Lepisosteus oculatus: one gene and its partners. The protein of the gene in region 1 purifies or fractionates together with the protein of each later gene. This does not show direct contact. Links are inferred from orthologs where the notes say so. Each region holds a gene or a part of one and is shown in the gene's direction. Other genes may lie near its edges. The genes, in order: sf3a1, snrpa, prpf19 and phf5a.

Region 1 (7,146 bases):
ATGCCCTCGGTGAAGCCACTGAAACTCTGCAGCAGCAGCACCAGCCTGGCAGCACAGACAACATCACTGCCTGTAAGTGGAACTCACACCATCACGCCTACAACACACACCAGCAGACACGGGCTGACACTTGGCAACAGATGTTGAGTTCTTGCTTTTTCAGTGCTCTGATGCTTTTTTTGTTTCTTTCACATGATTGCTGAGATGAACACTGTTAAAGGAGTAATATCCCCTGCTGAGAGAGAAACAATCAGACAGAGCAGCAGCAGGGCTCTGAGCTTATTGGGGTACTGCAAAGACACCTCAAAATCACATTTTTTACACTACAATCATTTGGTAAGTTAGGAAAGTAATGTGCTAATAAAGCAGTAATACCACCTTCAGATATTGTTTTGAAAAAGTCAAATGTTATTATTTATTACATTTGTTATTGATACAGATTTAAAATGTATTACAAGGACAAAGATCAAGAGGGACACCTCAGCAATCTTGTACTGGGCCTCCATTGTACTGAGCTACATTAGTATCGTAAATATTCAGTTGAAATTGTAGAAACATAAAGTACTTACTTAAAACAAAGGTGGGGGAACAGAATTAATTTCAAATTCACCGAAGGTTTTCACTTTTCATAGGGATTGCTTCGTATTAAACTCAAAATTAGTCTGTTTCCAATTTGAAAGCCACACTTTTTCTATCAAAGGCAACTCACTGCTGCCACCCAGTACAAGAAGCAGGAAGACAACACTTTGCGTTTATTTGAGCTCTCACTTTCTCAACTAAGTGTGTGGGTTATTCATAAAGGCTTAGTAAATACTGTGTGGACATGAAGTAGAAGGAACAGAACCTTACCTGTCCACAACCAGCTCCAGCAGCACGATATGGGAGTGCTGGTTGAACTCCTCCTCACCCTCCACAAAGTCATACTGCTCCAGGAGGGTCACCAGGTCTAGGTTACAGGACAGCTTGTCGGGGAACTTCCAGGAGGGACTGCGGATCGGGCCGGTGCGGGAGAACACATCCAGGACCGTGCCCTGGAGGTCAGTCAGGTCCCTCCGCAGGCTGTCCACGCAGTCCTGCCGGCCCAGCAGGTGGCTCATCTTCCCCAGCCTCCCAGTCTGCTGTCGCTCTCCAACCCTTCGAAGAAGCGTTTGCCAGCTGAGACCGAGTGCTGAGATGCACACAACAGCCCAGACCTCCACAGCCTCATGGTCTTCAGCGCTACTTCCCTAACACCCTTGACAACTGAAGACGGGTCTTTTTTCTGTTTTCTTTTCCTTTCAGCAGGAATAACCCTTTACCTGTTACTCTGCAGCCTGCGCAAGCCGACGCAGCTCCCTGCTGGAACTTCTACCTCCCTAACTCTTATTAAACGCTATTTTGATCCCTTTCGATTTTTCTAACCCAACAATAATCTTCTCATTTTTAAATCTATGCTACTTAATGCATCATGACTACTGTAATAATTTGCAATCCAGGCCCTAGAGGAGTACTGAAATTGGATCTAGACAGGAGCCTGTAGGTTTTATGGGAAAAACAAACTCTTCTATTACTAAAGGCTTGGAAACAATTGTAATTAAGACCAATTAATTGCGTTTTTCTTAATTGATTGATTGTCATTAAGCAGTCAGTGAGGAATGGAAACCAGAGGACCTTATAGCTTGCCAGGGCCAAGAGACAGAATCACTGTACTAGTGCATTCTCCACAATGTTTAGGAGTTTAAATATCAAAATGCATCAATGATCATCAATACAGATAGGCTTGATGGGAGAGGGGCAAGGGCTGCAGTACTGATTTGGGAAGCACTGCTGTGAAAGAGTACAAGGCTTTTGTTTTAATAAAAATACCTGACCGTCTAATTAAGTGGTTTTAGTCATGGTTGCAAAGAGCACCTGTGTCTTCTGGGTTTGACTAACTCAGTTTTGCATTACTTAACTGAATACTTGAGCTGTGTCCCTAAGTGCTCAAAACGATTGGAAATGTCTTAATGAGACAATTGTTAGTTCAATGTAGCCTCAATGACAAAGAGCAAAGCTGAAATGAAAGCCAGAAAAGACATCAGACCAAAACACACAAAACAAAACAAAGGCACAATAGACATATCTGACAAAACTAAATAAGGCATTTATTTAGGCAGGACCTACTATAACAAGTTGAGTCGATAATAGAGTACAACTATGAAACTGTATTGTTGAATCAAAACCTTCTGGCTGCTATCGCATATTAGTGTGGTGGATTGAAATTGAATACAGTCATGGCATGACTCAGTTGAATGTACTGTAAAGCAACGTATTGTTAAGAAGAGCTAACAAATTAATTAATATAAATAATAATCACAAAATCCATTAAGAGTAGAGTTACTTACCAGGATTACACTCCTCAGGCTCTTGTGACCCCTTTATATACATGTGATTGCTTCATTAGAGTATAAGTATAACTGAAGTTTCCTCCTTTAACATGCTCTAAAAAAGTATCATTTTCAGATTACTTACAAGTTTCGAATGGTAAATTGAAAACCCCAGAGCTGCAGTTCTGAAGACTATCAAAAAACCTAGAAGGAACAGTGAAATGTGAATTAAACCCAAGGGCACAAGTGGAGCCTACATGCATTTAAAACTGAGAACTGGAGGCCCTTCACTACGCAAAGGGTTGTGGAAGTAGTCTCCTGGTTAAATGTGGGGTAAATTAAATAATCACAAAATCAGACCGAACAAAACTCAGCACACACTGGAGTCATTAGAAACAGGGCTGACACTTGAGTCGGCAGTCTTCAGAGATTTACAGTAAGTCACAGCTCTCCGTTCAACATTCAGCTTGGTGACCATCGCTCTCGAAGTCACCAAAAAAGAAAAAAAGCAGACAAGCCAATGCACTTGCAGAAATCATGCTCCTGCTGCCGACACACAGTAAAAAATCAGATGATACATCAAGAAACACTTACTTGTCCTTACTCTATGGTCATTGCTAGAGCTTTCGTGTTTTTGCTCTTCTGTTTTCAGTTCGATGAAATACAGCGAAACGTCCCTGTTTTATTTGATCGTTATGCTCTTGAAATCCTCAAGCTTCCATCTGTTGTCCCCTATTTCCATGGAAACAACGGACAGGAAGTCGCCTGAGGATGACGTCATCTGAAACTCCAGCTGTCGAGCCATTTTATCAGGAGGCACTGGCTCGGACATTATTTGATTGCTAAGAATGACAACAGTTATAACGTAGCCTTTTTATCCAAGGCGACCTATAATTATATTCAGAATTATAGTGCCACGGAATTTTGAACTGGCCTTAATATTAATTTTGTTAGCTTTTCGCTTGTTTTTGTTTCTGTAAACGTGTATACATTTAATATTTTTTTAATATATATATATGTGTGCGGTTGGTAGCTCAGGATAAGGGCGCCTACAAAATTAAGACAAACATAAATAACTGTAAACATTATTTTTAATTTTGCAAAAACACACTGAAGAGCAGTAAATAGTTAACTGTTATTTAATGAAAAGCAACGACAGAAACAGTGAAGGCTGTGGAAACTATGGCGATACTGAGATGAAAAATATATTTCAAATATGTGGTACACAGGAAATTGCAATTGCTTGCAAGTCCAGCAGCCATATCACCCTGCAACTCACAACTGGCAACCCACTGAAGCTAAGCAGGTGTGAGCCTGGTTAGTACCTGGATAGGAGACCTCCTTGGAAAGCTAAGGCTGCTGCTGGAAGAGGTGTTAGTGGGGCCAGCAGGGGGCGCTCACCCTGCGGTCCATGTGGGTCCTAATGCCTCAGTATAGTGACGGGGACACTACACTGTAAACAGGTGCCGTCCTTCGGATGAGACGTAAAACCGAGATCCTGGCTCTTTGTGGTCATTAAAAATCTCAGGGCGTTTTTCGAAAAGAGTAGGGGTGTAACCCCGGCCTGGCCAAATTTCCCATTGGACCTTACCTAATAATCCCCCTTTATGATTTGGCTACATTACTTGTTCAGGCGCACTATAGCTGCCGTCGCATCATCCAGGTGGATGCTGCACATTGGTGGTGGAGGGGATCCCCATTACCTGTAAAGCGCTTTGAGTGGAGTGTCCAGAAAAGCGCAATATTAGTGTAAGCAATTATTATTATTAAGTCGGCCATCAGAGAACTGCATTTCCCACAATCCCAAGCGAGGGGCACTCCGGAAGAGGAGCTCCTTTCGTTTCCGGGTTACGAGAGTTACGCGAAACGAGTTCTTCGTTGCGGGCTGTAAACGAGGCCTTTTATATTTAAACATTACTGTTCCGTTCGATTCCATAATACGGCGAATCGAAGATACAAGGAAAAATTGGATTCAGTAGTCCGAGGACGCAAGTGATTCACCAAGACACGGAAACGCGGGTGTTTGGGTTGTCTTCGGCCCAGCACAGCCATGCCTGCCGGACCGGTGCAGATCGTGCAGCCGGAAACCAACAATAAGGTAACGGGTAGCTGCGAAGCGCTGCGGGCCTAAGTACGTGGTTTACCCGGGGTAAAACTGTACATACAAAAACAGCTACAAAAACTGTGTTCTGGTCCACGCAACGTGTCCATAGTAACTTCAGATCCAAAGAGTTTTGTTTTCTAATATTCCTGTAAAGAAACTTGTCGGTTTACATTCGCGCTCAGTGCAAATACATGTTCTGGGAGTTTTACCCTTGAGCTAAGAACTTTTCTCAGTGTAAAACAAGTCGGGTGCTTTTGGGTAGACCTGTGGAAGTCATCCGTAATTCGGGGGGATAATTGTAATATCTTCTGCGCGATAATAGTATACTGGGATGGTTGAGCCACACGAATACTAAACTCTAACTGTGCAAGAACGGGCGTGCTGCGAAGTTGACCGCCTGTGTTTTGGGGTTTTGAGATTTCGCTGTTTTTACATTTCGCGGTGTAGTGTCACAATGCATTGAAGAACTACACCCAGCAGTGTCTCTTTGCAGGCGGTGGATGTGACCTGTAGCCCTCAGTATCGGATTAATGTTCTGTTTTCACAGGTCGATGAAGCGAAAGAGGAATCGCCGGCTTCCAAGCCCATCGTGGGCATCATCTACCCCCCTCCGGAGGTCCGGAACATCGTCGATAAGACAGCCAGCTTTGTAGCCAGGTAGGCTGTTTCTTCTGATAACTTGGCAGCTCTCTCGATGCACCAGGTGGCACTATATTTAATTCTCTAAAAGAAAAAAAAAACACATTTTGGAACCATGATGGATGTACTAAATAGTTCTCTATTGTGTGTTGAGGTGTTTCTGAGGATTTCACTATAGGTACAACAGAACCCAGCGAGCCAGGTCCTGGGTCCCATTTAAAAAAATGATTATTACATTTGTAAAGGCAGATGTATTCTTAGAGGAACAATACAAAATCCATATGGCAAAAACAAAGATAACCAAACAAAAATGCATTTTGGAGTTAATGCAAAGTTGAACATGAGCTTTGAATTCAGCAAAACAAAAATTGCTCTTTTCTTTAATGAAGGTATCCATAACATAGCTGCATTTGTCGAAGTTCCAGGCGACTCTGAACTGAACGACTTGACTTGAAAAGATAGATGCATGTGGCTCCTCTTGGGAATTAGGTGCTGTCTCTCAGCTACAGCTGCTCCCTGCTCTGAGCTGCACAGCGCAGTGAATCCTGCTGCACTCAACGAGTGGCCTCCCACCGTGGGAGACTTGAGCACAGTTGGTGTCCTGTGGGGTCACGTCACCATAACAAGCTCACTGATTGAACCCTCGTGCAATATGCTGCAAGCCATTGTTGTTTCTGAACTCGCCCTGTAAGGGCATCTACGATTCCAGCATCCATTCCTTTCCTCTACCCTTGCAGAAACGGACCGGAGTTTGAGGCGAGGATTCGGCAGAACGAGATCAACAACCCCAAGTTCAACTTCCTGAACCCCAACGACCCCTACCATGCCTACTACCGGCACAAGGTCAACGAGTTCAAGGAGGGGAAGGCGCAGGAGCCCTCGGCCGCCGTGCCCAAGGTCATGCAGCAGCAGGCCCTGCAGCAGGCGCCCCAGCAGCAGCTCCCGCAGAAGGTAGGCTCGGGGGACCCCCTCCGCCCCCCACACTCGGAGACGACCTCGTGCTTTGTAACTAAGCGCAGTGGGCCTTGAGGCTCGGAAGGAACGAAGTCGTTGTGGATTTTGATTGTTCTGTTCTTGTCCCTTGAGTTCCGCAGGTTCGTTTTAATGGGTTTTTGAAAGCAGAACAAAAAAACGTGTTGTCAGTCAGTTTGTGATGCAACCAAATGGAACTTATAGGACTTGACTTTTAATAGGTGCATCAGAAGTGCTGTTGTTTCTTCACCACTGAACAGATGGTCACATCCTATGAGGCATTTCACCCTTTCAGGAAGAGCAAATCTCTATAGCTTGCCAAGTGAACAAAGATAATTTATTGATATGTTTATATGAGCCCCGTAAGTGGCTAAAAGTTATTTAGTTTCTGATCCATACATTATGGCTTGAACAGACTACTGATTTAACGCGATCCAATACACCGCAACAAGTGCAGAACGGTGTTCCCAAGCCCAGCTAACAGCTTCGCATCTTTGCAAGGTGCAAGCGCAGGTGATCCAAGAAACCGTGGTGCCGAAGGAGCCTCCCCCCGAGTACGAGTTCATCGCCGACCCCCCCTCCATCTCGGCCTTTGACCTGGATGTGGTGAAGCTCACGGCGCAGTTTGTTGCGCGCAACGGGCGGCAGTTCCTCACCCAGCTCATGCAGAAGGAGCAGCGCAACTACCAGTTCGACTTCCTGCGGCCCCAGCACAGCCTCTTCAACTACTTCACCAAGCTGGTGGAGCAGTACACCAAGGTAGAGGGAGCGCTCTCCTTCTGTATTATGACATTTATTTTATGCTTCTTCTGTTAAGGTATTTAATGACGTTGTAGTGACAGGAACTACAGTCAGTGATATAATTTCATAGATTATGTACTGTAGCAGCCCACTTTCATAAGTATGGACTCAAGCTGTGTGTGAGCAGTTCTATCCAGGTGTTCATTACTTCATGGACAATATATAAGATACTTCTTCCATCCCTTTTCAGTACCTTCTCAAAGCTCATCTTTTCACCACAGCCTGAAACCTTTGCATTGCTATGTATCGTATACAGACCCATTCACTGTTGTTTAATGCATTTTA
Region 2 (7,219 bases), on another chromosome or scaffold:
CCTCTACAACAGGCAACAACGTTCCCTCTGAAGACTCCTGGTTTAGTGAACCAGCTGGAAAAGCAGAGTGACCTTGTTATGATTGCAGCAGTGGCCTGAGAGCTCCAGTCTTGGGGGACTGCAGAGCCTGGGGTTCTATTCCATCTCATTACACCTCAGAACGAGCTCAACTTTAACGGGTCCGATTTTTAACATTTATAAGGAGCCAGCGTTGATTTAAATACCCCAAGAATGCCTGCGAACTCCTGGGGTTTCGGGGGGGGCTCGGGGCTGGCGCACTGCCCCGCGGCGGCTGCTCTCTCACCTGAGACCACGGCCCAGTGCGCCCGGTGCCCGTTCCGCAGGCACGGCTCGTGGTTGAAATCCTCATCGTAGCTTCCAGACGTGGGAGTCAAGGAATCCTTCAGGCGGTGCTGCAGAGCTGGGTCACTGGGTCAGTTACGTCCTGACTACTGTCGAATCTTTGTGGCAACGTGTAAAGGGGATCACCGATCGATGACTGGGCTGGGGTGACTGACATTACAAGGTGCCCACACTTTGGCCACATGCGGTTGGGCTACGGGGCGCCGTCAGCGGCAGTGGTCGTGCCCAGAGGGGGGCTCTTGCCAGCGAAGGATACGGGACGAGGAGGGGCTGGCCGGCGGCGAGGTGCCCTATGACGCGCATCTCATTCTCTCCCCTCAGGCCTCCGCTCAGCAGCTCCGCAGCTCCGCCGTACAGCTCCTCCGCCAGCAGGGCCATGGCCTGGGCTGGGGGGAGGGAGAGGAGAGGACAGGGGGTGACAGGAGCGGCACCGAGGGCCCAGGGAGGTACCCTGGGAACAAGACCCTACAGCCTTACCCACGGAGCAGCTCTGAGCTGTTTTTCTAACTGCCCGATTTGAAACTGTAAAAATGTGTTGTCTTCGTTTTGGACACCTGGTGCCCAACGGCACTTCCGTTTGCATCTTCACGGTCTGTGGGGGCACCTGCCCCCCCTCGGAGATCACACAAGGTCACGAGACCAGACGCGCATGTTGGGAGTCTGCTCAGTGTCGTGCACAGTGTTGTGTCCCCGTTGGACCGCACCTCCGCTATCAGAGTTGCTCATTTTCACAGCCTTCGGTCCAGCTGCGAGAGTAGTGGACGGTAGGAAATGGGAGAACGGACACTGTGGGTCAGTCGAGGGGGCGGCTCACCTGAGAACATCTCTCCCTGGGCGGTGTACCCTCTCCCCAGGGCTCGGGCCACGATCTGCTCCAGAGGCAGGGGTGTGGGCCCCTGCAGGAGGTGCCCGGCCATCCACAGAGCCACCAGCCCACACCTGTGCGGCAAACCCCCACTGTCACCCCGGAAAGAGACACCCCAATGCACGTTCGCCCCCAAAACCTCACCTCGTCACTAACACACTGCTTCTGCTCCAGCGCAGACTGCAAAGTATCGCAGTCGGCCAACCAGCACAGCGCCCCCCTCTGTCACACTGGTATTCGGACTACGATCTGAGTGGTGCAAGTGCTAAATATTTCTTTCTTCTAACTCAAAATAATTCAGCATATTTAACGTACCCAAACCTCCCTGACCAGACACTCATGTCTAAATGTCCACCCAGGCCGGGGGCGAGGAATACTCACTGTGGCCCATCCTGGATCAGCGATGGCACATACTTATTGAACAGCACCCACTGCAGGTCTCTCCGGAAACTGCAGAAGGAACACATCCTCGTTTCTAATCCGCACATCCAGTAAAAAAAAATACATTCTCCAGCGCAAGTGAAATTGCATCTGAAAGAGAAGGGAATGCTGCAGGCCAATATTTATTTTATCTTTAATATTTAAAGTTTAGGGCGGAGCGGTGGCTCTGTGGCTCAGGATCTGCGCCTGTGACTGGAAGGTTGCCGGTTCAAATCCCGTGGCCAACAGAGGAAACCTACTCTGCTGGGCCCCTGAGCAAGGCCTTTCACCCCAGCTGCTCCAGGAGCGCTGTACAATGGCTGACCCTGCGCTCTGACCCCCAGCTTCTCTCCCTGTCTGTGTGTCTCATGGAGAGCAAGCTGGGGTCTGCGAAAAGATGAATTCCTAATGCAAGAAACTATATAGGGCTAATGAAGAAATATTATTATTATTACATTATCAATACCCATGTGTCTCTAGCAAGCTCAGAAATACGGGATGGCTTTCGCATACTCCTGTTTTGCTCAGATCTGTACAGGTCTCAGTCTCCTCCGAATTCTCATCCTTTGAAATCGCGCAGTTTGAGAAAATGGGTTGTGAGTTCGGGCCTCTGGGTTTGGCCACAGTCATTCGGGCAGCACTGCTCCCTTCCTACCTGTCCTGTCTCTGCCGGAGAAGCAGCCGGGCCTCCTCGTAGTCTCCCGAGACCGGGGCCTTTCCTGCGGCGATGGCCTGGTACAGCTTCTTCTTCCCTGGGCAGGCGGGGGCCGGGGGGGGCGGCGGGGGAGCAGGGGGGGGCGGCGGAGCCACGAGAGTCGGGGTGCTCATGGCCGTGATTTCCCTTCAGGGGTCTGTGGTGAAGAGCGACCGGACCGGTGAAGGACGCCGACGCAAATACACAAAATGTCTGCCCGTCTGCAGCCGCGAAACGCGAACGAGCAGTGCGGGGCCCCAGATACAGGCTCGAGGCGAGCAAGGGCTGGCCTGGCTAGTATTGGGGTGGGAGACGTCTAAGGGAAGCCAGGCTGCTGCTGTCAGTGGTGTTGGTGGACCAGTAGGTGGCGATATTCCCTCTGGACAGGTGTCTCCAAGGCAGTGCCCCAGTATGAAAGCTGGGGACCCTGTTTGGGAAGAGGTGCTCGTGTCCACCTGAGGTCCTGCCTGATCGGTCAGTAGAGAGAGGACACTGTCCGCAGGGCTGCTCTCCAGCCTGGCCTCCCTGCAGTTCCTCCTAATGTCCTCTCAGCAGTTTCTCTCTCCTCCGCCTCATCTGTGAATAGTGAGGCAACTGTCTGTCCTGCAGGTGAGTGCACCTAAATGTTCCTCTGGGGTGGAAAGTGCAGTATAAGTGTCATTAACGACAATGATAATTATCCCATCCTGTTCACGGTGTGGCCCCGCCTTGTGCCCTGTGCTTCTGTAAAGGACTCCAGGGTTCTGACCCTCATCAAGTTTAAGGTACAGCACCCTTACCTTAAAGCCAACTTCAGTCACCCTTTTCTCATATTGAACGGTCACTTTAATAATCTTATAAAAGACCACCACTAGCCCTAGCCAGCGGCTGGGATGAAACATACGGAGCGGAAATAAAATTCTTCACAGACTCGCAAGCGAAGAAGTTTATTCGTGCAGTCCCAGGGAGCACGTGCCCGGACGCAGCTCGCGTGCAGCGCGTCAGGGACAGAGGGGCTCCCCGATTTGGGCAGGGATTAAAAATAGACAATAAACAAATGTACCATCACTGGCTAGTTAAATGAAGTTGGAACTTTTGTATTGCTGCACTTTTTAGCTGGTTTAAACAAAACAATTAAAAAAAACTATTGTTTTCCATTTTGATGTGTGCAATACGGTGAGTTTTACAATCATTGTATAATTAAAAAGGTTTAAGTCAGAATTTGCAAAAATGTATATGAAAAAAACCTGCCACGATCAGCACACCTTCCTTTAAACGTCAGTGGAACTCGTGAAACTGGCTATTTCTGGCCAATCATAAAAGTATTTGCAATTTTATTTAAAAAAAAACTTCGCGGGATGCGTCGTCTTTTATAATTACCAAGGTAAATCAACGCGCAACTACAGCTATCTTGGAAACATTTTTATCAAATGCATTCCTTCACACACGCAGAAACCGGCCAGAACTGTATTTACTGTCTAATCAATTCTAGGCTTAACGAGCTATCAAATACTTACCCATGGAAATCGTCGGGTCCAAGTCGGGAATATTTTTACTGTGACACCCGGCGTAACACACCGTCAAGTCAAGGCGAATCAAGCCCTCTGTGAAACTGCAGATAATCATTCGTCATTTTGGCTCTACCCAGCGATTAAAAAGAAAGGCAAAACCAACTCCTTCTTAGCGCCAAAATGGCATCGTAAGCGCGTGTAAGAAGCATGTCGGACAGATTGTCCAATCAGAACTAGAATCAGAGACCGGGTGGGTGGGATATACTGTACATGTGTCCAATCGAGAGCTGCTCTAGCTTTCGCCTCCAATCGCGTTAAGGAACGTTAACAGGTAGGCGGTGTTTATGGAGTGATTGGCAGGGAGCTGGCAAATTACAGGGCAGCTGCTAGCAGTTAGTCTCCATGGTCGCCCGAGCGCAAGGAAGTCCAGGCGAGTCGAGGGAGTAGGCCGCAACCGGGAGCCGATTTTAAACAATCCGTAAGTAAATCCTTTTGTAAACGAGCCATCGTGTAATTATTTTATATTCTTTAGTCAGTTTGGTGATCGTGCGATGAACAACAGGGAGTATTTTTGTTTTTATGAAGCGTGGCGGTGATTTAATTAAATAAAGGAGCCCGACTCGGGCGTAATCCCGAAACCGTTCATTCGCTGGGCGGATCTGATTCGCGGTTGTTTGTACAAAACTATTAACTTCGTAATCGTCGCCAGAGCTCCAAAGGCGTTCGGCCGTTTTGAGGGGATTTTTTGCGAAATAATGAAAAAAAATCGCAGTAAAATTTGAATTTTTGCGCGTGTATTGAGGCGGTTCTGGTGGGCGCTGGCGGTCCTGTTGTTTGGATACCTCACTGCCGGAATAACCGGGCTGGGGGTGTGATCCACCGAGTGAAACCCCCGGGCTCATGATCTGGAAGCGGGACAGCCTGAACCGTGTCCTTCGTGTTCCGAAAGAGAGGGGGGGAGTCGGGCGACTTTCCCTCCGCTAAAACCCGTTGACCCGGGGGGGGCTCGGTTCTGAGCCCGTGTTAACGATGCCCGATCTTTGCTCCTTGGTATCGAGAGCAGTTGAATTTGCCAGAAGATGGAGGCGAGGGTAAAAAAAATAAAACCCATATTTCTTAGTGTCCCAGTAGGCTGTCCCTTTGAGGGGGTTTGTGTGAGAGCGGTTCATGTTTAGGGCGACTGGGGGACGTGGGGAGATCTGGCCCGGATCGGAGGGAGTCCGTTCCTCCTTGAGCTCCTGGTTTCGTGCAGCTTTTTTGTTTTTAAATAAGTTTTTATTTGAACACCAGAAATACAAAAAAAAAGGAGACAGAATAAATGAAATATATACAGAAATACGCACTTCAAAGCGAGAGGAATTCACAATTGTAAACACTAAAAATTAGATATTTCCATTGTATGTCTTTCTTGTAAGTTTATTTCTAACAGGATTTAAATAAAAAAGGAATTCAAGTTTAAAAGCATGAATAGAGGGAACAGTATTAGAGCATTTACATGTGTGGATAAAATATTTTGCCAAATAATTAACATTAATAATAAAAACATATCCTTTTTTCCAAACCAGTTCTAACGAAATATAAAATAATATCAAAATCTTTCGATTTAACATTTGCCTTTACATGTTGAGCAATAACATTTTGCAGATCTGTCCAAAACAGTTTTGTATATATGCAGTTAACAAACAAATGTGACGAAGATTCCTTCTCATTATTACATAGTACACAGAAATCGTCTTGTTCATCCAAAAAGTGACGATTCTGGTTTCGTGCAGCTGTGTAGCAGAAGGGACCGGGTTCTGAGCTGTGCTCTTTCTTTCCCAGTGTCCTCAGCGGCCATGGCTATGCAGGAGCTTCGCCCGAACCACACCATCTACATCAACAACCTCAACGAGAAGATCAAGAAGGATGGTAGGTGCCCCCAGCAGACCCCTCGTGTCGCAGGGGAGAGGTGACGTGTGAGGAGGGCTCTCCACCCGTCTGCCCCGTTTGTTCAAGCAGGGCGGATGGCCCCCGGATCAGAACCGCGTCGATGTTGTGTTTCTGACTGGGACGTGTGTGATTGCAGCAGTGTTGACGTGTGACGGGAGGTTGGGTCTGCTGGATAGTGGGCCTCTGGGTGATGTCTGGCGCAGATGGGCCTGAGGGAGGCCAGTGTTGCACCAGCTCTTGTGTGTAACAGTAAAATAATTCCCTGTGATTTATCATGGCTTTGTCCTTTACAAACAGGGGGGTGGGAGTGTGTAACAGGCTACCCAGCCATGTGGTTTGATGATACCCTGGATTCTCAGGAAACCGCCAGATGAGGTCCTGTCATCAGTTAGCTACTGACTACTAAATGGGCTGTGTCTTGTAACCCCCCATTTGTGATCTTTCATGTGTTTTTTTTTTCTGAATGCAAGGAGTTTCCAGTGATTAACAGGAGCTGATGTAAAGATCATCACTCGGGCGCTAGTGTGTGGAGGGGAGGTCTTGGCCTGCCTGGTTTTCTCAGGCGGCTTGCTTTTCTTGCAGAGCTGAAGAAGTCCCTGTACGCCATCTTCTCGCAGTTCGGCCAGATCCTGGACATCCTGGTGTCGCGCTCGCTGAGGATGAGGGGCCAGGCCTTCGTCATCTTCAAAGAAGTCAACAGCGCCTCCAACGCCCTGCGCTCCATGCAGGGCTTCCCCTTCTACGACAAGCCCATGGTAGGGCCCGCTGTCCGCGGCGCTCGCTTGCAAGCGTGGCTTTTCTTGTGCTGCGCATGTGGTGGGGGGGTTGTGGTCCTTATTAGGGAGTTGTGGTCCTTATTAGGGAGTTGTGGTTTTCACTGTAAAAGTTCTCAGATGAAAGCAGGAATTTGTCGGGAGTGCACGACCCAGGTGTTAAAAAAGCACCAGAGTAAAACTAGGCAGGCACGGCACTGTTTCCTCTCGCATGATTTTCGTCCTGCCCAGGGTGTAGCCCTCCTTGCGCCTGTTGTTTGCGGGTGTGGGTTCCAGTTTCCCTGAGATCCTGTCTCGGATAAAGTGGTTTAGAAAATGGATGGATGTGATGTTGTTCATCTGTTGCACTGACCTCCATCGTAATAAATTGGTTTGAAAGAATGACGGTATCTGTGCTCTGCTCAGATGTGAACACTCAGTGGGAGCGGTTTGTATATAAATGCTGATGGAGCAGTGCTGATGAAATTAACAGCATTACACATTGTTTTAAACACCTAGAGGACCCCCGATCCCTTTGCCCGACAGCTGTTTGTTGACTTCAGCTCTGCATTTGTTAACCTGCAGTCTCATCTTTTGATTAGCAAGCTGAAGCAGTTGTCTGTTAATTCTGTTATCGTTTTTAACAAATCGCACAGTGCGTCAGGGTCAGTAAGACTCTTGAGTTTACAGTGTGAGTCCATATTTC
Region 3 (7,399 bases), on another chromosome or scaffold:
GCTCCCCGACTCTCCCCGGCCGGCCCGGGCTGCCCGAGACAGGCCGGTAGGGCCGCGCACAGCACCGCCAGCAGCACAGCGAAGGGTCTCCGGAGCGGGTACAAAGCCATCGCCAGCACCTGTCCGAGATCGGGACTCCAACACAGCCGACGGGCGAGTTCGCGATTTAAAACCTGGAGTTGAGCCCCGTCCGCCCTGCTTAGCACGTAAAGCTGAGAATGTTACTCATCAGAGAGCAACCCTTTTTTTTAGAAAACGCACAGCTGTCTCGCAATAATAGAAGTTTAAATCCAATTTTAAAGGAACCTCTTCAAGTGCGAGTGAACCAGCTCTCCCTCATGAAGTATCTGCAGTCCAGAGGCCGCGCTCGTTTCCCAGTTAAACCAGGTTGTAGAAGATTAAATCTAAGACGACGAAAAGGTTGCTAAAAAGACTCCCGAAAAACTTAGAACATCAACTGAAACTCAGCGGCGATTTATGTATTTTATTAAAAATGATATATCCTGGTATAAGATGCGCCTCTGTCACAGCCTGCACAACCTTGTCTGGACTGCTGAGCCACACGAAGGCACAGTTCACTGGGAGATAAAATAAAGTCGCACTGAAATCTAAAACACCACATTAAGCCGCGACCTTCTGCGGCTAAAAATAGATATCTTTAAAAAAATACACAGCTGGCGCTGGAGAAGAGAGTTTTGTGCAAATGGAGGTCTGTCTTCAGTCCAAACGAGGGCTCCTTAATGTAGCTTTCGATCCGGGTTTAACTACTTGTTGCTGTTTTAAAGAAGTAATATTTTTTTTTAATTAAAGGCTGACGATATCGGAAAAAGCGAGTTAAAACAGCGAAGCAATTAAAAGTTCGGCTAACTAAGCGAGCAAACACGGGCAATGTTTAGGACGCTCCTATCGCTAATATTAGTTACCGCTACAATGTTAGAAGCCTTCTGCTGAGCTGTATCTCCTTAAACGACCTGAGCCACCCCGCCCCGCCCTACCCGCCAGACTAAAGCGGAGTGACTCACACAGTATGCATGTTAAATTGGAGCCAAGCCCGTGCCTGGCGAGGGGCGTTGGAGCACCGTTGCATTTCGGGAGTTGTAGTTTGTGTGCAATTGAATTCCAAAGTAAACTTTATTATTGTCATTCCCTAATGGCAAATGGACAGCGTCCAGTACAGGACTACAACATATTCTGTGAGATGTATGAGACGTAAAACCGAGGTCCCGACTCTCTGCAGTTAAAAATCCCAGGACGTTTCTCGAAAAGAGTAGGGGTGTAACCCCGGCGTCTTGGCCAAATTTCCCATTGGCCCTTATCAATCATGGCCTCCTAATAATCCCCCTCTATGAATTGGCTACATTACTCTGCTCTCCTCCCCACTGAGAGCTGATGTGTGGTGAACGTTGTGGCGCACTATGGCTGCTGTCGCATCATCCAGGTGGATGCTGCACATTGGTGGTGGTGGAGGGGAGTCCCCATTACCTGTAAAGCGCTTTGAGTGGAGTGTCCAGAAAAGTGCTATATAAGTGCAAGCAATTATTATTATCATTATTACTATTATTATTATAACCTCCCGGGAGGTTAGATCTCTGCCACGCGATAGCGGGGCTCTCACACCGATCCTGCAAAACTGCCTCCGCGCCTCCGCCGCCCCCGTCTTAACAGACTTCCCAACCCGTGCGGGTCCTGACCCGAGGGCCCCTGGCTTTAATTCACACACTGCGTACAGCACCTCTGGGTCACGAGTCAGCCAGCTGTGCCGTTACACACTGCACTGCCCTCCTGCAGTCAGGCCCTGGGCTGCGGGGCACTGCCATGCCACCCTGGTGCCACCCTCGGCCACCTGCTTCCCCGCACCGAGCTTTCCGGCGTCCTGATCTCCCCACCCTGCCCTGCCCTGCCCTCTCGGGCCCTGTGCTCCCCCGAGGAAGAGGGGGTTCCTGGTTTGGAAGAGCGGGTTGGACTCTCTTGCTCACCCACGGATCGTAATTGTGAACAAACTGGAAGAAACCTCACGGGGCGCCCCACCGCCGAGCCCCGAAACTGCTCAGCATCTTCACCGACCCCCCTCTCCTCCCCGTCACTGGCTCACCCTGATGTGCTCATTCAGACCTGTATTTAAGCTGCGTGTGAGGTGACTGGGTTTGTGGCTGTGGCTGCTGTTCTGTGTCTGTGGTTTTGGGTGACCCCTTTAAAGTCTTTGAACTGCAAGCGGAGCTGAGCTCTGTCCTCCGCGGACGGGGGCTGGAGACGGCGGCTGCGATCAGGCTCTGCGAGGCAGGAGGGGGCGTCAGTGAGAACAGGAGGACTGTTGGAATCGAGAGGCCCGTGTGCACTTCTCGTTCACTCGACTGAGAATGCTCACTGTGAGGGGACCTGTGTGTCTCTCCCCCACACCGACCCAAGACCAGATTTCAGATAAGACCACTTTATTGGCCATATACAATTTCTTGCATTTGTCTTTTCCCATACCCCAGCTTGCTCTCCATGAGACACACAGACAGGGAGCTTTTATATTTCATTATTTCATATTTCCATAGGGTCAGCTATTTATACGGCACCCCTGGAGCAGTTGGGGTTAAGGGTCTTGCTCAGGGGCCCAACTGAGTAGGATTCCTCTGCCGGCTGCGGGATTTGAACCGGCAACCTTCCAGCCACAGGAGCATATCCTTAGCCACAGAGCCACCGGTTCGCCCCCTGTTGGGTAGTTAGGAGCTAGTTGATCCCAGGATTTCATCCAGCATCCAGAAACCAGTGTATTGGTTTTAACATCATGGCTGGGAAGCTTGTTCCACACTCCCACCGCCCTTTGTGTAAAGACATGCCTCTTGACCTGACTGCAGGACCTCGTCCAGGTTCTTGAGAGAAGCCAGAGTATCGGCTTCAACGACATCAGTGGATACAAATCATCCTGCAACTCATACATCATACATAGCAGCCATATCACCCTGCAACTCACAACTGGCAACCCACTGAAGCTAAGCAGGTGTGAGCCTGGTCAGAACCTGGATGGGAGACCTCCTGGGAAAAACTAAGGTTGCTGCTGGAAGAGGTGTTAGTGGGGCCAGTAGGGGGCGCTCACCCTGTGGTCCACGTGGGTCCTAATGCCCCAGTATATTGACGGGGACACTGTACTGTAAACAGGCCCCGTCCTTCGGATGAGATGTAAAACCGAGGTCCTGACTCTCTGTGGTCATTAAAAATCCCAGGGCGTTTCTTGAAAAGAGTAGGGGTGTAACCCCGGCGTCCTGGCCAAATTTCCCATTGGCCCTTATCAATCATGGCCTCCTAATAATCCCCCTCTATGAATTGGCTACATTACTCTGCTCTCCTCCCCACTGATAGCTGATGTGTGGGGAGCGTTCTGGCGCACTATGGCTGCCGTTGCATCATCCAGGTGGATGCTGCACATTGGTGGTGGTGGAGGGGAGTCCCCATTACCTGTAAAGCGCTTTGAGTGGAGTGTCCAGAAAAGCGCTATATAAGTGTAAGCAATTATTATTATTAATTATCCTGGTTTCTTCCCCCTTTCCGCTGGTAAGCGTTACAGGAGCATAAAGTCACGAACCTCCTCCACATTCAGAGACACTTTCTTCCCTGCAAACTGTCAGATTATTCAATCCATGCTGAAAAGAGAAGAAAGAAGACACAATGTTTCGGCCGTTGAGCCTTCTTCAGGTGCCGAAACGTTGCGTTTTCTCTCTTCTCTTTTCAGCATGGAATAAACCTATTACTTGTTCCATTGCAGCCTACGCATGCTGACGCAGCTCCCCACCTGAACTACTTCAGATTATTCAATTCTACCTCTACCACTGACTCATACTGACGTTTTTTTTCCACATTTCTTGTGCTGACTTGTATTTTAAATTGTATGTGATTTCACTTCACTGCTGTTCTGTGTTTATATTTTGGTGTTTCCTCAATGTCTTTGTATTGGAGCATACATGCAAACAAGCATTTCATTGCACTCGTGCATAAGACAAGCGAACTCAGCTGAACTGGGCCACTTGTTCCACACTTGGTTTCTTTCAAGAAACAGCTGGATGGGATTGTAGTGCTAATAGCTTCTACCAACCCAATGGGTTAGACGTAACATTTCTTAGGATGGCCTGCAAGCTCACACGTTCACTGGCTTTCCCACTCTAGTCGCATACTGCTAACAGAAATTTCTTTTAGCCAATGAAAATGAGAGTACCTGGCGCTCTAACGACAACCTTTCTCTCGACCCAGAAGGAGGCGGGCCTGTAAGTCGTGATTCGCCTGTGGATTGGCTCAATTTGTCAAATGGGCGGTGTCGGAGGAGCATCGCGCCGAGTAAGAACACCTGTCATTGGTCAAGATGTGGGAGAAGGCGGGGCTGGAGGACCGGGAGCTCTCGGAAGCTATCCCAGCATGCCGAGCGCGCCGCGGCGGTACTAAGTCGCGCGGCGTGTTGTTGCAGAGTTGTAATTCGCTGGGGCAAGTGTGTAAAAAATAAATCAAATCTACCGAAAGGACAGCGGAGATCTCCAGCACCCGATTCCGTTGTTGGCTGGAGGGTTTGAATCATGTCTTTCGTTTGTGCTAGTAAGTCCTGGCCGCCGGGAAAGCTCGGAAAAAAAGAGTTTCATTGTGAAGTAAAGACGCGTTGTAAATGTCGGCACGCAGTCGAGTTTTCCAGGGCTTGCGGCGATACACATCGTGAATTTGCCGATAGTAGCAGCAGTAGCGTGGGTTTCGTGTGTTGTGTAGAAAAAGCCTGTGTTTCTGGGAATGTTTTGGGTGCGCGAGTTGAGTTGAGGTGAGGTGGGAGTGTGGGTCGGGGGAGGTGACGGAAGTTCGTTTCTCTCCCGTGTTGCAGTCTCTGCGCCTCATCGCTGCTTATTGAGACGGGTTTTTCTGCCTAAAAGTAACATCGGCGGCGGCAGGATTGTGCCACTGCACGTGTGAGCCCACAGTCCTGCGTGAGGCTCCCCCACTCGAGAAGGGAGCTGTGCAAGGGTCCTCTGGCCTTGCAGTTCTGATGGTAACAGTACCTGCTGCCTGGGCACAGGCGGGTTTGTGCGCCGCAGGGCCTGATGCAGACGTTCAAAGACGACTGCTTTTGTTTTCCCGGATGATTTTCAGAGAGGCCGTTACCCTCGTGGGTTAACAGCCGTGTCTGTGTTGCCGTGGGAGGGGGGGTTGTGTGAACTTCAGTGGACACTGACTCCGTCTTGCTCTCCCCCAGTCTGTCACGAGGTGCCGGAGCACCCCTGCGTGTCCCCGGTGTCCAACCAGGTGTTCGAGCGGCGGCTGATCGAGAAGTACATCGCGGAGAACGGCGCTGACCCCATCACCGGCCAGCCGCTGTCCGAGGAGCAGCTGGTGGACATCAAGGGTGAGGCTTCTGTGTGTCTGCTGTCCCTCTATCACTAATCCCAGCCCCAGTGCTGTCCAGCTGCTGGACATCAAGGGTGAGGCCTCTGTGTGTCTGCTGTCCCTCTATCACTAATCCCAGCCCCAGTGCTGTCCAGCTGCTGGACATCAAGGGTGAGGCTTCTGTGTGTCTGCTGTCCCTCTATCACTAATCCCAGCCCCAGTGCTGTCCAGCTGCTGGACATCAAGGGTGAGGCTTCTGTTTGTCTGCTGTCCCTCTAGCCCTAATCCCAGCCCCAGTGCTGTCCAGCTGCTGGACATCAAGGGTGAGGCTTCTGTGTGTCTGCTGTCACTCTATCACTAATCCCAACCCAGTGCTGTCCAGCTGCTGGACATCAAGGGTGAGGCCTCTGTGTGTCTGCTGTCCCTCTAGCCCTAATCCCAGCCCCAGTGCTGTCCAGCTGCTGGACATCAAGGGTGAGGCTTCTGTGTGTCTGCTGTCCCTCTATCACTAATCCCAGCCCCAGTGCTGTCCAGCTGCTGGACATCAAGGGTGAGGCTTCTGTGTGTCTGCTGTCACTCTAGCCCTAATCCCAGCCCCAGTGCTGTCCATCTGCTGGACATCAAGGGTGAGGCTTCTGTGTGTCTGCTGTCCCTCTATCACTAATCCCAGCCCCAGTGCTGTCCATCTGTTGGAGATCAAGAGTGAGGCTTCTGTGTGTCTGCTGTCAATCTAACCCTAATCCCAGCCCCAGTGCTGTCCAGCTGCTGAAGAGCAGCTTGTAGACATCAAGGGTGAGGATTCTGTGTGTCTGCTGTCAGTCTAACCCTAACCCCAACCTCGTCTGCTGTCCAGCTGCTGTCTGAAGAGCAGCTCGTGGACATCAAAGGTGAGGTGTGTCTTGCCATCTCCCACGCTGCACTGCTGGGATGCCTGAGCAGCTCGCTGCTGTAGGAGGCGTGAAAGATGAACCTCAGCACTGTGTTCTACCGCATGGCTGACCCGGTAGGGAGCTACGTCCTGGGAGAGGTGGATCTAGCCGAGCAGCGCGGGGAAGGGTCCTTTTCCGCACAACATCGTGTCCTCCTGCACGGCCGGGGAAGGCTGTCGGCAGACCTGAAAGCACACGCGTGCTTGCTGTTCCTGCTGATGTAGCGGGGCTCGGAGTGCTCAGCCCCTTCTGACTCGTGCACAGTGTCAGACTCGGCCGTGGAGTTATCCCCTGTCTCCGCAGCGGCCGAGAGCTGCTGGGGTCTAATCCCAGCAGGGGCAGGGAGAGCTGTAGCTTCTTTCGCCCCTGGAAGTGCTGCATTGGAGCCTTCATGTTGGACTGAACACTTCCACTGGAACAAATGCATGTATATCATGATTCCTTTCCCGTCCAACCCTTCTACTTACTAACTGATCCGAGGATCTCGGCCTGCAGTTTCTTTAAAGAGTCCAGGGTATCGGCTTCAACGTCATAGCAGGGCGGTTTGTTTTACACTCACACTCCCACTCCCACTCGTAAACTAGCTTTAGTGAAGAAAGAAGTTTGTTCCAGGTCCCTGGTGTCTGAGCCTTGGGGTCTTATTTGTGTTCTTGGCTTATGCAGAAGCAAGCCTTGTGTACTGCTAGAGACTTCAGAAAAAAAACCCATTAAGTACAGTCCAAACAGTTTCTGATTTCTGTGCTGAAGGAATCGAGATCCTGATGCGCGGAGCTCCCACTGCTGGTGTCAGCAGGACCTGTCGAGTTCCAGAGGGACCGTCTCTATTAACCACCCTCTCTCTCTTTCAGTCTCTCACCCCATCAGGCCCAAGGCTCCGTCTGCAACCAGTATTCCTGCCATTCTCAAGGCACTACAGGATGAGTGGGTGAGTTTCTCAGTGTGTCTGGACTGTATTAACCCCTCTCTCAGTGCAGTGTTAATGTACTGGAGTGTCCAGTCAGTGTGTCTGGACTGTATTAACCCCTCTCTCTCAGTGTTAATGTACTGGAGTGTCCAGTGAGGGTCTGTCGTGTTTTATTTGCTGTAGTAACTCCACTGTCTGTCTTTCAGGATGCAGTGATGCTGCACAG
Region 4 (7,070 bases), on another chromosome or scaffold:
GGGGTCACCCCCTCCTGCCTGCCACTATCGACCACCGGGGTCACCCCCTCCTGCCTGCCACTATCGACCGCGGGGGTCACCAACATGCTGGTGGGTTAATTGGATTCTGGGATTCTGCGTGAGTGCGTGAGTCCTGTGATGACTGGTGTCCTGTCCGGGGTGTGTCCTGCCTTGCACCCAGTGCTTGCTGGGATAGTCTCCAGCTCCCCCGCGACCCTCCTGCCCCGGACAGAGTGGTTCGGCAGCGGACAGACAGGGCTGCTGGGCGGCCCGTGGGGGCGGGGAGGGAGAGGAACATCACTCACGTTGGGGCACTTGAGCTCCCAGGGGATCCCCGCCATGACGTCGACGGCGTCGGCCCCGCCCACCCCGATGCACACGGCCCCCAGCCCGCCCCCGTTGGGCGTGTGGGAGTCGGTGCCGATCAGCATCGCGCCGGGGAAGGCGTAGTTCTCCAGGATGATCTGCGAGGGGGCGAGAGGGTGGAAACGTCAGTGGAAGAAAGCAGAGAGAGCGTATAAATCTATATTTAAAAAAAAAAAAACAGCATCCGAGATTTACCTGGTGGATGATTCCCGAGCCAGGCTTCCAGAAGCCCACTCCGTACTTTGCCCCAGCACTGGCCAGGAAGTTATACACCTCCTGATTCACTTCCTGGGTCACCAGAGAGACAAGAGCAAAACAGTTTAGCTTTTCACCTCTTCGCCCTCCCCTGTAAAGAACCACGGCAGGGACTAAGCACACCCCACGCGAACACCCCCCCCCATACAGGTCCCGATACCCGAATAACACTTCTCCCACTCACTCCACCCCCCCTCTCCTATCTTGCCTTCCTGCGGTACCCGACGACGGAAGATGAAGACCTCCTTCCCAGCCTCTTTCCCCCTCCCTTCCCAGCCCCCACCCCTCCCGCTGCCCTGCTGACCTTTGCCCTCTGCAGGTCCTGCACGCCCCCGAGCTGGGCCTCGATCAGGTGGTCGCAGTGGATGGTGGAGGGCACGGCGACCGTGGGCAGGCCGCTGCTGATGAACTGCAGCATGGCCATCTGCGCCGTGGCGTCCTGCATGGCCACCCGGTCGGGCCGCAGGCGCAGGTAGGTGCGGCCGCGGGCGACCTCCTGCCCCGCCGGGTCGTCCAGGTGACCGTACACGATCTTCTCGGACAGGGTGAGGGGCCGGTCCAGCCTGGGGGGGGGGGAGGAGGTCCACAAGGACAGGTTCGTGACGGGGCAAGGAAGGGCGGCGTCGCCAGGGACCCACAAGGGGGTCCAGCCTGACCCCCCCCCCCCCAGGTGGGCACGACCCTCACCTCTTGCGGACGATGTTGATGTTCCGGTGCAGCTTGTCGTAGTCGATGTAGCTCCCGGGCTCGAAGCGGCTCATGGACACCTTGGCCTTGGCGCTGAAGGCCGCCGTCACGTGCAGCCGCCGCGCGCCCTGCCCCAGGGCATGCTGGGAAGACAGCACACACAGAGCAGTCACTTTCCACGGTCGGTTCCACACAGACTCGGCAGCTCCAGGAGTTTTTTTTCCCAGATCATGTTTAAACAGACTAGGGGCTCCGGGCTGTAGGGGCTCATCCTGGACTGGGACCCTGGCTGTGATCTCTGGGCTGTAGGGGCTCATCCTGCACTGGGACCCTGGCTGTGATCTCTGGGCTGTAGGGGCTCATCCCAGACTGGGACTGTGACTCTGGTGGCAGAGGCTTAACTTCTTAACTTGCATACAAGAGCTGTGATACGGGAGGAGAAATGCACAGTCCCCCAAAGACCTTCTGGGTGGCTCAAAAAGTGTGGAAAACATGATCAGTAAGGATAAATAAATAACGTATTACCGGCTGTGATGTTCACACAGTAGTCTGTTAACCACTAGCAACACAATCAAGGGGGCAGAGGAATAAAAGCAGACAACAGGTTCTGCAGTGTCAAGAGGCGGATTCTTCCTTTTACCCTGGTCAACTTTAATTTATTAAGACCTTGGGGATGCCCTGACCGCCAGCAATGAAGAGAGTCTGCGTACAGGCCACGACGAGATCAGGACTCATGAGAAAAGAGGGCTTAAACCCAAGGAACAGGGGCGCGTAAATTAAAACTGCAAACAATGCATCTGATGGAATGAGCTCGCTGCTCTGTAAACACACAGGGCTGGCAGTGCAACCCAACACCGAGACAGAGGGCACCGGCGTCACCTTGACGTTCCCTTGAGACACCGAGGCGCGAGCAGAGGCCCACAGCGCGCGACGGACCAGGAGGGGGGAGAGGAAATGGAGGAAAAGAGGAGCGATGATTTTGAAAGATACTGTCGACATGGAGGAAATAAGAATCATCTACAACATGCTTTGAAAATGTGGGGGCCAAAATCAAGTCCGACGCCCAGTGAGAAAATTAACAGCACTCAGGAATGAAGGGACCGGGACGTGAGGAGGATAGAATCCCAGGATGCAGTGCGGTCCCCTACAGGAACAGAGGGAAACTTCTGTTTCGGGTTTTACAACTTACAGAACCCCGTGGGTCAAACAACGAGGCAGAAAACCCAACATGGTCGTTACTGAACTTCACTTAACTCAACACCAGTTGACTCAGAATAAGGTGCCAGCACCTGCTAAACCCCGGAGTGGAGCGCCCTGCTGTGGAACGGGACTGCGATTCTTTTAAAAAACGTTTTTTTTTTAACGGGTTATAAATTGCACAAAAAAGAAACTCAGAGGAGCTAACAATTCATAACACTTACATCTGTTCAGTATGGGGAAAACAAATCAAAATGACAGATCCACACAAAGCACATAAAAACGACACAAAATAAAAACTATTAAAACAACTCATGAGACTGAAACCTGGTAACGTGGGTATGAGGTTGTAGCCATTTTTTATTCATGTACTTTATTATTTATCACAAGCTAGATGAAGTGGCAAGCAAAACTAAAATCAGAAAAGGAGACAAACGATGCACCTTTATCAATAATCAAAGCCAAGCTTAATTTTGGCATCACAAAAGACCTAAAAGCAAATTAACACACTGGACACGTCGCCGAATGCGATTGTACACCATGAGTGCCGACGGTTTTTATCCCGTATTTTGGCTAAGGCTGAACCAGATCAATGCGGATGCCGTCCCAGTGCGAGATCCACAGTACAAGCGTTCCCCGTTAGAAACGCTCGGAGTGCGCACTTCAAATTCAATAACCTTGCGATCACCTTGCAGCCCCCAGACAGAGGCATTCCTGGTGCTTCTCGGGCACACCCAGGGCTAGACAGATGTGAAAACCATTTAAACCATGGTTTTCCTTTCACTGAGCCGTACTCCGTGTTTGCCGTTAAACAGTCTGTTATTGCTGGGGCAGCTTATCACCCGCTACACGCAAGACTCCAACGGGGACACCGTGACCTAACGTCAGGAGAGGGAGACAACGGTTCTAACATTCTTTTTATTTCCTAACAATAACATCCCTCCAGACCGACTCTTCTATGTTCGTACGCGGCTAACTGTCGGAATCCATAAGACCTAGTAGCGATTAATATAGGAATACGAGTTATTTCAAATTCACTCACCTGAAGCCGGCTGACGGTTAGACAGTAGGACGCCATTTTGTTCACTGACAAAGATGTGTCGCTTGAGGATGACGTTGAGCCACCCGATTTTATAGCCTCGGGGGGCTGACGTTTGTCCTAGCAGACAGATAAAATATTAATGTTCGAATCTTCTTTTTGTCATTTTTGGAAAGAAATAGTACCTCGAATACTATAAAATCTATTTTTGATGACATCTGTGGAAATATGTCCGTATACACACAGTATTCAATCATATTAACATTTTTGTTTGTAGTCGACTGCCAGGATAAGTTTACAAGTAATCTTTTATTAAACGCTCAGAACGTCATTACAAAAGCAGCGTAATCAGGACAAAAGGGATAAGCAGCATTTTCACTTCTTAGTAAATAAAAAATATTTTAAAATATTTTAATGAGAGGAGAAATGTGAGCTGGTTGCTACGGGAACCGCATGAAAGATCGCGTGCTAGATAAAAATCTTAAAATGAAGAAATTGTAGACGGTTTTGTGAACAACAGGTGGTGCGGCCTTCTTTAGAAAACGCAGTCAGGTGGAAAAAAGTTGAAATAACTAATAAAAAAATATATCGTAACTACAGGGTCAACGCTGAGTTCAAAGGTGAAAGGTGAGACGCGCCACAGCGCCGTTGTCTACAGCTCAACATGGCTAAACATCATCCTGACTTGATCTTCTGTAGAAAACAAGCCGGTGTCGGTAAGAACGGGAGCTCCTATTTAAAAACAACTCTTTTTCTTTTAGTTACTATGCCCAGAATGTAGGCGGCAACGTGCTTTATAATATGATCGCAGGGCGCCGGTTTAAAGTTTGAACGAGTAGGTCCTTGCGCGGGTATGTCCGTTTAGTAACACGAAATACTTTTAAAAAAACTGCCTAGGACACTCTATAATAACGTCAATCCCGAACCAAGATACTAGTGTCGTTGTGTTTTGTTGTATTTTGCTGGCGAGTGTTGCTGTAACCCACTTTTGAAACACAATATGAAAGTTATGTCTGAATCTGCTGTTGGGGAAGGCACGGGGCTCATTGGCGAGTTACAGCACCGTGTTTTCCTGAAAGGACAGCCGTCAGTAAGCTGTCCTGGAATGATTGTAATAATGCATGAGTGTTGGTAGTAAGTAGTTTCACTGTAATTTAGTGGACTTTAACTCAGATGGTAATTAAATCATGATTAGGGTGGCTAATTAGGAATGTTTTATTATTATTGCTGGGTTTCGTTCTAATATTCATAGATAATGAGTCCTAATTTCTTTCTCATTTATTTTTGCATGTCATTGCAGCCATTGGAAGATTATGTGAAAAATGTAAGTACTAAATTTATGTGACCTTAGTGTTTTATGAGGGAAAATCTGTAGACTGAGGGTTTCAGAATTAAAATTTCTTGGCTGGGGGGGCAAGTGTGTTATAGTTTTTTTTACGACCTGTGTGGCCAAAGAAACAATTCACCAAATTATTTTCTTAGATATATAATTTTTCTTAATATCTTTTACAATAAAGTCAGTAAGTATGTCTGCACTGACAGAGAGGTTAATACAGTGTTCATGTACTGGAGTGTCCAGTCAGTGTGTCTGTATGAACCCCTCTCTCTCTCAGTGCAGTGTTCATGTACTGGAGTGTCCAGTCAGTGTGTCTGTATGAACCCCTCTCTCTCTCAGTGCAGTGTTCATGTACTGGAGTGTCCAGTCAGTGTGTGTGTATGAACCCCTCTCTCTCTCAGTGCAGTGTTAATGTACTGGAGTGTCCAGTCAGTGTGTCTGTATGAACCCCTCTCTCTCTCAGTGCAGTGTTCATGTACTGGAGTGTCCAGTCAGTGTGTCTGTATAAACCCCTCTCTCTCTCTCTCAGGTGATGGGAAGTGTGTGATCTGTGACTCTTATGTGCGGCCCTGCACGCTGGTGCGGATCTGTGACGAGTGCAACTATGGCTCCTACCAGGGCCGCTGTGTGATCTGCGGGGGACCGGGGGTCTCGGACGCCTACTACTGCAAGGAGTGCACCATCCAGGAGAAAGACGTGAGTGCCCGCTCTCTGCATCCTCCCGCCCCTTGGAGACTGGGTCTGCCCCTGTCCTGCCCCTGTCCTGCCCCTGTCCTGCCCCTGTCCTGCCCCTGTCCTGCCCCTGTCCTGCCCCTGTCCTGCCCCTGTCCTGTCTCGCGCCTGCTTGCTCCCCTCTTCACAGGTTCGAGTCGTCTTTCTGGCCTCCAGGACCAAGATTAAGGAGCCTCTGTGCTCTGTGGGTTTTTCTCCAGCTGAGTTCTTAAACACAGACTCTGTGATTTCAGTTTTCTGTCTGGGGTGTACATGTATGTGAATGTGCTCTCAGCCCCTACAGGGTGGAGGGGGATGTGTGATCTGCCAGGTTCCGAGAAACAGAACTTCCCTCGTTCAGGTGTGCTGAAATGTGACCCACTGCACCTGTGAGAGGAAGAAAAAAGCCAATTGCAGGTGTCAGATTATGGGGTCACACCCCCGTGTGGGCGTGTCTGATAGTTTTATTCAGACTGTCTGTGCATCATCAACAGATCAGCTAGTAAGAGTCAGAAACTGGCAAGAAATTTGAGGAGAGGATCGGTGAAGTCCTGTGTGCTGAAGCTGCTGGGAAAAAGACCCTTGAAGCGGGTATTTGTCACACTCAGGACTGCCCGCAGACATGAGTTATAGGAAAGTCTAATACACGCAGATCGGTTTAGTCCTCGGTTAGTGCAGGAGATTAGGGCCCAGCTTGGGTGAAAACCAGCAGACAGGTGTTCCTCCTGGACAGCGGCTGGGAACCGCTGACCTCCCACTGGGATAGTGTCATGTGATCAATCGATCTAGACGGCAGTCGGCAGCCTTGGTCCTGCAGAGCCACCATCCTGCAGGTTAACGCCCCCTCGTCTGGTGACCCGCTGGTCCAGCGTAGCCGTTCCCCTGCCCCAGGCCGGACAAAGGGGCTCATGGCCGGTGTTTCGCCATCGATGAATCTGATTGCCTCGCTCTGCTCCGTCCCGCAGAGAGACGGCTGTCCGAAGATCGTGAACCTGGGCAGCTCCAAGACCGACCTCTTCTACGAGCGCAAGAAGTACGGATTCAAGAAGAGGTGAAAGGGGAAAGGTCGGGAGGGCGCCCAGACGTCCAGATGTCCCGCCTCCAGTCTGGTGTCCAAACCAAGATCTTGCTTTTTTTTTTTTCACACGTGTAGGATTTTCTAAATGTAATAAAGGTGTTTTTATACTGTGCTTAATCGCGAGTGTCCTGTTTAGTTCGAAGCGGGTTTAGCGGTAAGGCCAGGGGTGGCCTGTCCTGGTCCCGGAGGGCGGTGTGTGTCTGCGGGGTTTTATTCCAGCTGAACTGTTAACAGGCCAAATCGGCTCATAATTGACCTAACTGGACCAGTTTAACAGCTTCTCCCAGCTCTTCAGGTGCTGCTGCTATAGAGAGAGAACCTGCAGACACACTGACTGACCCCTCCAGGACCAGGACTGGACAGCCCTGCTGCAGACACACTGACTGACCCTCCAGGACCAG

What was found.
Region 2: the proteins of sf3a1 (region 1) and snrpa fractionate together in Homo sapiens (co-fractionation; 3 studies listed by BioGRID and IntAct, with this or other methods). This does not show direct contact. The link is inferred for Lepisosteus oculatus from reciprocal best matches to the Homo sapiens genes SF3A1 and SNRPA.
Region 3: the proteins of sf3a1 (region 1) and prpf19 fractionate together in Homo sapiens (co-fractionation; 3 studies listed by BioGRID and IntAct, with this or other methods). This does not show direct contact. The link is inferred for Lepisosteus oculatus from reciprocal best matches to the Homo sapiens genes SF3A1 and PRPF19.
Region 4: the proteins of sf3a1 (region 1) and phf5a purify together in Homo sapiens (affinity purification with mass spectrometry; 3 studies listed by BioGRID and IntAct, with this or other methods). This does not show direct contact. The link is inferred for Lepisosteus oculatus from reciprocal best matches to the Homo sapiens genes SF3A1 and PHF5A.

Annotation. Positions count from the first base shown.
Region 1 is NC_090717.1:13,808,746-13,815,891, forward strand, and holds the start of sf3a1 (splicing factor 3A subunit 1), read left to right. Parts: upstream 1-4,126; 5' UTR 4,127-4,395; coding exon 4,396-4,443; intron 4,444-4,996; coding exon 4,997-5,106; intron 5,107-5,825; coding exon 5,826-6,039; intron 6,040-6,561; coding exon 6,562-6,819; intron 6,820-7,146. Other genes in the region: ccdc157 (coiled-coil domain-containing protein 157), read right to left, coding at 1-45, 850-1,097. UniProt on the Homo sapiens protein: Component of the 17S U2 SnRNP complex of the spliceosome, a large ribonucleoprotein complex that removes introns from transcribed pre-mRNAs.
Region 2 is NC_090698.1:2,559,344-2,566,562, forward strand, and holds the start of snrpa (U1 small nuclear ribonucleoprotein A), read left to right. Parts: upstream 1-4,200; 5' UTR 4,201-4,310; intron 4,311-5,653; 5' UTR 5,654-5,667; coding exon 5,668-5,740; intron 5,741-6,343; coding exon 6,344-6,516; intron 6,517-7,219. Other genes in the region: actmap (actin maturation protease), read right to left, coding at 305-375, 620-749, 1,178-1,302, 1,610-1,678, 2,304-2,476. UniProt on the Homo sapiens protein: Component of the spliceosomal U1 snRNP, which is essential for recognition of the pre-mRNA 5' splice-site and the subsequent assembly of the spliceosome. U1 snRNP is the first snRNP to interact with pre-mRNA.
Region 3 is NC_090701.1:41,961,598-41,968,996, reverse strand, and holds the start of prpf19 (pre-mRNA-processing factor 19), read left to right. Parts: upstream 1-4,380; 5' UTR 4,381-4,547; coding exon 4,548-4,566; intron 4,567-5,209; coding exon 5,210-5,359; intron 5,360-7,117; coding exon 7,118-7,194; intron 7,195-7,379; coding exon 7,380-7,399. Other genes in the region: voltage-gated monoatomic cation channel TMEM109, read right to left, coding at 1-110. UniProt on the Homo sapiens protein: Ubiquitin-protein ligase which is a core component of several complexes mainly involved pre-mRNA splicing and DNA repair. Required for pre-mRNA splicing as component of the spliceosome.
Region 4 is NC_090707.1:38,169,462-38,176,531, reverse strand, and holds phf5a (PHD finger-like domain-containing protein 5A), read left to right. Parts: upstream 1-4,064; 5' UTR 4,065-4,208; coding exon 4,209-4,260; intron 4,261-4,844; coding exon 4,845-4,868; intron 4,869-5,409; coding exon 5,410-5,576; intron 5,577-6,556; coding exon 6,557-6,646; 3' UTR 6,647-6,781; downstream 6,782-7,070. Other genes in the region: aco2 (aconitate hydratase, mitochondrial), read right to left, coding at 306-464, 562-654, 926-1,184, 1,309-1,451, 3,548-3,583.